2 linked regions of the Bombyx mori genome follow. The protein of the gene in region 1 binds, or shares a complex with, the protein of each later gene. Links are inferred from orthologs where the notes say so. Each region holds a gene or a part of one and is shown on either strand. Other genes may lie near its edges.

Region 1 (4,303 bases):
AACGTATTGCGTACGAAAATACCAAAAGCATTTTTTAATTTATTTTTCTCGTTTGGATTTGTTGACAATTGACATTTTGACATATAAACACAGACCTTTATAGGTTTCATACTTCAGTGTATAAACATGACATGACATTCCATTTGCAAAGGAATATTATAAGTTGTTAAAAATATTATAAATATGCACTAACTTAACCGCTGAGCTCTTAAAGGCTTTCCTGTTTTACATAACCGAGGCGACGAGGAAACGCAAAGCCATCGTCCCCCTAAACGTATCTCGTCGGATCCCCCGGATCACCTCTCGGAATTTTTAGGCTCTTCAAAATTCAAGCACCGGCATCGGTCACAGTCTTCGTCGGACTCGTCAAATGTGAAATACAACAAAGAGTTCGACGTGCAGCAGAGCCCACAGACATATCCACTGAATTTCTCACCAGATCTTCTCCATGGGGCGCGATTCCGATCCAGTGGTAGATTCAGCGAAGCGCTGCTCTTGTGTGTGTGCTCTAGTGTTACCAATTCTCTCAAATTGAGCCCACGAGCTCACCTTCCCGTCCGAGCATTGCTGGAATATCCCCTTAGGCTACCAGCGATTAGGTAGGGAAAAAATAAAAATACTCTTTGATCAAAGCTCATTACTAGTTAACTGTGGTATGGTAAGCTATAGTATTTTTACTATGTACAATTCTAATATTTGAAAAAGTTTTCCCAAGTACAAGTAGTCCCAGCATGCTGTCTATCTCATTCTCGGTGCCTGGACACTTAAAATATTATTTTAGGTCATACATAAACTATATGTTTAATAAAGTATCTGAATAGACGAATCCCTAAATTGTGTGTAACTACTACAACAGAATATTGTTTGAAATGATATAACACTAAGATTGCGTCAATACTTTTTGAAAGCAGTAACTGAACAAAAGGTCTCACTGACCACAATTAGAGACACAATTAGTACAAGATGCTGTAAACTAGTGTTATTGGAGCCTATATTGATTACACATTACATGTTAATCACTGCCATTGCTCTTTTATTTTTTTATTGCTATGTTGGATGGACGACCTCACAGCTCAGTTTTTACAATACTGTTAAAATTAAGACCTTAGAACTCTTGTCTTAAGGTGGGTAGCATTTACGTTTTTGATATCTTTGGCCTCGGTGACCACTTAATAGCAGGTAGTATGAGAGCTCGTCTACCCATATAAGTAAGAAAAAAAGTACAACGGCTACCCTTCCCTTCCCCTTCAAAGTCTATAAACCGAAACGCATTACTGCTTCACGATAGAAATAGGCAGGGTGGTGGTACCCACCTACCCATGCGAGCTCACAGGACACCCTATCACAAGTTATAAAATAAGCGAGTGGTGGTATCTATCTGCCTGTGCGTGCTTACGAGAGGCCCTACCGTCAGTTAAGATTCGAGGTTAGAGAATATGGAGATTAGAGGTTGGACTCTCATTGATAAGCCTACTCGTCAACATATTTATCACATTATCTTAATTTGTCTAGCAGCTAATGATGCAGGTAATCTGAAAATTGAGTAAAAATGATTATTATTATTATTATAAATAAAGTGGTTTCAATACAATAGGTCAGCAAATATTGTCAGCCAGAAATTCACTGGACCGGCTCGAACGTCTGAATACTCTGAACATTACAGCTCGAAAAGTTTTGTTATAGGTGTCGCTGTAAACGTCGTCGCCATATTGACTCCCGAGATCCGCCATATTTGCTGAGAATCGGCCCGTTGCTTGAGGGTGGTGTGAATTTATTGAGAATAATAACGAAATAATGATTTCAAATAGAAATATACAATAAATTTTATTGTAGTGCTTACTGTTTTATTCTGAAAACCGTTTTTTGCGTCTCCCTAGTTCTGCTAATGGTGCTTAATCTACATTTCCCGTTTCGTCTACTCGATCTAATCTAAACAGAAAATGGCCGACGGTGTTGGTGCGGGTGTCTCCTTTGTTTAGACCTGAATTTTAGTGAATATAAGTGATAAAAGAAATAATGCCTAGTGCCTCGTTTTCGTCTTCGCGTTCTTACGTACGTAGATCGCGGAGAAAAGGCGGTCATCGAATACCACTACCTTCTAGGACACAATCGAGTAAGTAATCCGGGTCGACCGAAGTCGCCCAGACTTAGCTAAAGCTTTTATATTGTCGTTCTCGCCGTGGTCAAATGTCAATAGTAATCGAATATTTCCATATTTAAAGGTATTTGCTTTATATAAAAGGAAATAAAACAACATTCTGGACTGTTTGTGAAGTGAAAAAATCAAGTGAAAACGCTATTCAATTCGAAATAGTTGAGTGCCGTCGATCGTTGTTCCTGTTAAGATTATTGATGTGTTAATCGTTAGTTCCATTACTAACCATTTTCATGATAGTATTAGCTGCGCATTTCGGTGACATTTTGCGCATTATAGATATTGATTTACAAGATGAAAAATATTTAACGTATGATGAAACAGCTGTTTTGTACATGCTTAAATCTTCGGAGCGTGTTCGATTTGCATTACGAAACTATTGCAATTTCGCTGAAGCCTAACGCAGTACAATTAATTTTCACTTCGTATTGCTTTGGTATTTAACATTAAATGTTATATGAATAATAAAAGCAGTACTTACAATAGATTTATAAATTCTGTGGGAACATAACTCAATGTGTTATTTATTACGAAAAGTTTATCTATACAAAGTTAGATGTTGGTCAAAATTACTATATGAAATGGTTTAATATGGTTAAGCGTGTTTACATATCACAATTTTGATTGCAGTAATAAATAGGCTTTGTAAGATTTTATCACAATTGATAATGTAATTGAATCAATCAAAGAAAGTAAATATAAATGAAAATAAGATGTATTAGTGTTACTAATTAGATATTGAGCTAGCTATATAAAAAACGTGGGGTAAAGTTAATTTAAAATGTAAAGTTATTATGTTTCACATATTCATAATGCAATACAAGGATAGGGTTGTATTTTTAGCAACAAATCAAATACTACTTTCTAAATGAAGGCATGTATCTGTGAGGTTATTACTCAAGAATAATCTGAAATTTTAACTTTATTACTAATTTACATATGTTCCTAATTTTATCCATTCATAAAAATAGTGCAAAGATAGCTATTTCATTCTAATAAGATACTTTTCATTTGTACTCACTTTACAAACATTAATCATTTTGATCAATTTTCTTAAATTTAGGTGATCATTTCAGTGGCAAGCCATAATGATACACCAAAATTATCATAACCCAACTGCAAAAAATGGTTTTCGATGTAGTCTCCTTTTATATAAATTTTAAATTACACATTAAAAATTGACAAAAGGCATACAAAATGCCGAAAGCACGGAACAAAAGTACAAGAAGGAAAGGAAGGAAGAACAAACCTATTAAGAAAGGTATAATAAACAAGAAATAGTACAAAATGTTCATGTTTACAATTATCAAAATCTAATCACTATCACTTAGTATTTGGTCTTATAAATGATTATAGTACAGCTAGTAAGACTATGAGTAGTCTGCCTGCTATACATTGATGACCTTTACAATAAGAATTCATTAGAAAAACTATTAATCAATACAGGAAGTAAGTAATTAAAGGACTTAAGAAATAAATATTGAACATTTCCTATGAAACATTACTGAAGTTAAATTTTAGTTCAATTAAAGCATACTACTTCTAAAATATAAATATTTCTAGTTACGAAACTTTAAAAGGACAGTAGTGATTTATAAATTTATATTAAACAAAACTATCAATATTTAAGTGATGAATATTTTCCCTAATAAGGAATTTAAATTTTTTTACATAAAGCTACATTACAGAATTGTTAAATATAAGTAATTTGTTTGTTCATGACAACAAGCTTACTTTATCAGGATTTAGCAGATTTATTTGACATTGATATTCATGTTAATGTGTTTGGAGTTAAATTGTGGTTAGAGTAAAATCCATATTTTTTTCAAGTGAAGAATATTGCACTAATGTTATATACAAAAAAACTGACAAATAATTTCAATCAAGTAGAATAACTTTTGATACAATTAATTAGTACATGAATATTTTTCCTTTAGGCTTACAAACCATAGTCAATGATTAATAAAAAAATTAGTCATATAAACAGATCCAATGACTATTTTCAGGTGAACCATGTGAGTCAGTTCCAATACCCAACAACGTCACGGGCAGTGCGATGGCGGCGACGGCCGCGTGTGCTGGCCCAAGCGGTGGGGGCGGAGCACCACCCGTACCTGCTGCTGCACCCGCCACCACCGCCGGCCATCA
Region 2 (3,327 bases), on another chromosome or scaffold:
AAAATCTTGCCAAATAAATTAAAGTTTATAATTAACAAATAAAAAATAGGGGTTGATCGTAGAGGGTTGAAAATTTCAGAGTAATATGAATTTTTTTATTCTACGTCATGACAAAATAAAAACAAAATTCTCGCAAACAATTTTAAAGTTTTTAATTAGCAAATAAAAAATAAGGGTTGATCGTAGAGGGGTGAAAATTTAGGGTTGTATGTATTTTTGTATGCTGTATCATAAAAAAATAGAAATTAAAAATTTTGTCTAAAAAATAAAAATAAAAATTTAGGGGTGGACTACCCCTAACATTTAGGGGGATGAAAAATATATGTTGGCCGATTCTCATAGATACCGGATAAGCACAAAAAATTTCATCAAAATCGGTCAAGCCGTTTCGGAGGAGTATGGCAACGAAAACTGTGACACGAGAATTTTATATATTAGATTTCTTCTTTACTCCATTCACAAGTTTCTTTTTTTTTTTAGTTGTGTGGGAAACTAAGTGTGTATCTATGGTGGGAAATGAATGTTGGTGTTGGAGGGACTTTTTGGCGGGAACGCGAGGAGTGAAGTGGTGTGATTTGTTTTATTTTGTCTATTTAGTGTTTCTTCAGGTTTAAATATGTAATAACGGTGGCTTATTAACTGTTTAATATCTGTGAAAGTGCACAAAAGTGGGAAAATGAAACAAAGCTGCTGGACGTAAGTTCTCGGGTTCCTCTAAAAAGTCTACTGAAAAAATCTCAGTAAATGACCACCATTTTACTGAGATCATATTTCATCCCATATCATCAAATTTCATTTAATTTCATCTAAGTTGATTAATTTCTCAAATTAATCATCTTCATTTCATTTCATTTATCTCCATATTATCATTTTTCATAAAAATAAGAATATAAATTAAAATAAGACATGACTTAAAGGTCTTAGTTATGAGGTCATAAAATCCCTTAAAAAACAATTGGTGTTGGAGGTACTTTTGGCGGGAGCGCGAGGAGTGAAGTTGTGTGATTTGTTTTATTTTGTCTATTTAGTGTTTCTTCAGGTTTAAATGTGTAATAACGGTGGTTTATTAAATGTTTAATATCTGTGAAAGTGCACAAAAGTGGGAAAATGAAACAAAGCTGCTGGACGTAACTTCTCGAGTTCCTCCAAAAAGTCCACTGAAAAAATCTTAGTAAATAACCACCATTTTACTGAGATTATATTTCATACCATATCAACTCATTTCATTTAATTTCATCCCAGTTGATTAATGTCTCAAATTAATCATCTTCATTTCATTTCACTCCATAATAAAAAATTTATAAAAATCTGAATATAAATTAAAAAAAGACATGACCTAAAGGTCTTAGTTACCAGGTCATAAAATCCCTTAGAAAAATTTAAACGAAAGCAGAAAAAAAAACAAAATTGATTAATGATTTTATTCATTCGTTCACTCATTGATTCACTGTTTGGGTTTAAGGAAAAATCTCCAGAACATAAGGGCATTTTCGTTTGAAGATAAATAAATTTCACTTAATTGTGAACATTCAAATACTTGAAAAAACAAGGTAAATACTTCGCTATTTATAAATTGGAAAATGGCGTCTTATTCTCAGCCGTCGTTTTATGATTTACGTTCCCACCGCTCTTTTGTTCTAGATGCCAAATATTAAGTTGCAATCATCAGACAACGAGGTCTTCGTTGTTGATGTTGAAATCGCCAAATGCTCCGTAACTATCAAAACTATGCTAGAAGACTTAGGCATGGAAGAGGATGAAGAGGAAGTTGTACCTTTACCTAATGTCAATTCTGCAATACTCAAAAAAGTTATTCAGTGGGCTACTTATCATAAAGACGATCCTCCGCTACCAGAAGATGACGAAAACAAGGAAAAGAGGACTGATGACATATCATCATGGGATGCTGATTTTTTGAAAGTTGACCAAGGCACACTCTTTGAATTAATATTAGCTGCAAATTATTTGGACATCAAGGGTTTATTAGATGTCACATGTAAAACTGTAGCAAACATGATCAAAGGAAAGACTCCTGAAGAAATCCGTAAAACGTTCAACATTAAGAATGATTTCACTGCTGCAGAAGAAGATCAGGTTCGTAAAGAGAATGAATGGTGTGAAGAAAAGTAAACCATAATAAATGCTATTTGCAAGCATCTTTATGTATTATCACTATGTATGCAACATTAAACTATTTTTCCCATGGCAATAAAGAATAATTAATTTAAACCAAGTAAATTTGTTTGTGTTGTAAATTATATAAAAATAGGTACATCATGTCATTGTGATTTTCAATAAAATTTAAATTTTCATATTATCATTTAAATTACTTTTCATTTAACTTTAATTGTATTATATTTATTGGAAAATTTACTTTATGAAATAGAAATAATTAGCATAAATCACTGACTTAAATTTTTGTCATCTGCTTATTTTTTAACTAATTGTGTGGGTAGTCTTGATTGTGTCCAGAAATTGCCAGTATCCATTGCAATGTTAAACCACAAAAATAAGTTTGTCACCATCAATGTCAATACAAAAAGTAAATAAATATACAGTCACAACCGTTTACTGCGACATCATTTTGAGCAACATGCTGGTTATAATAACCTAGAACAAAGGTCCCGGCTGAATGCTATATGACCGCCTTATTAAAAACATTGCTTTATACGACATTGCTAATACCGACATACCTAATAAAATGACCACATTTAACTAATATTTCGGAGAATTAGATCTGTTAGAACGACCGGCTAAGCTGTATTGTAAACAATTTGAATAGGTATCCACATTTGTCTTCAATGGCTATTAAAATCAGGAAAGAAAACAATAGGATTTTGTTTAGTGTAGGGTCTTTTCTAATTCTTAGAAACAAAAATGTGTATGCGGTAGAGTCAAAGCCCACTTCTTCATATCTTTTCAGTTAGTTTGTTACTTATCTATACACAAGACACACCAAAACTTTGTGGAGTTATTCGTGAAACTTTCAAAATGTTGCAAAGAAAAAAAACAAATTAATAACAAAGAAAAATTGCGTTTTGTGTAAATATATTTTTCCAATAATTCACTATCGATTTGTTTGTACTTTGTTTGTACTTGCACGATACACATTAAACATCACTGGTTGTTACGACTGAATATGAGCAGTCCCTTCGATGTTGTTATAATAGATTTTCACTGTATATGTATGTATTTGATAACCACATTCCCTTAGTCAGTTCCTGATGCTAAGATAGAATTAAACCATCAGCATAACAAATGAAAATAATATATATGAAACAATTTTTTCCTCTTAGATATTTGTCATTAAAATTACTTTTAAAGCTT

The links.
Region 2: F-box only protein 11 (region 1) and S-phase kinase-associated protein share a complex: the UniProt entries of both Homo sapiens proteins name them as parts of the SCF(FBXO11) complex. The link is inferred for Bombyx mori from reciprocal best matches to the Homo sapiens genes FBXO11 and SKP1.

The regions. Positions count from the first base shown.
Region 1 is NC_085131.1:4,835,321-4,839,623, reverse strand, and holds the start of F-box only protein 11, read left to right. Parts: upstream 1-1,496; 5' UTR 1,497-2,016; coding exon 2,017-2,113; exon of another isoform or gene 2,114-2,363; intron 2,364-3,231; exon of another isoform or gene 3,232-3,352; coding exon of another isoform or gene 3,353-3,416; intron 3,417-4,161; coding exon 4,162-4,303. UniProt on the Homo sapiens protein: Substrate recognition component of a SCF (SKP1-CUL1-F-box protein) E3 ubiquitin-protein ligase complex which mediates the ubiquitination and subsequent proteasomal degradation of target proteins, such as DTL/CDT2, BCL6, SNAI1 and PRDM1/BLIMP1.
Region 2 is NC_085119.1:7,149,710-7,153,036, forward strand, and holds S-phase kinase-associated protein, read left to right. Parts: upstream 1-1,403; 5' UTR 1,404-1,550; intron 1,551-1,641; coding exon 1,642-2,130; 3' UTR 2,131-2,810; downstream 2,811-3,327. UniProt on the Homo sapiens protein: Essential component of the SCF (SKP1-CUL1-F-box protein) ubiquitin ligase complex, which mediates the ubiquitination of proteins involved in cell cycle progression, signal transduction and transcription.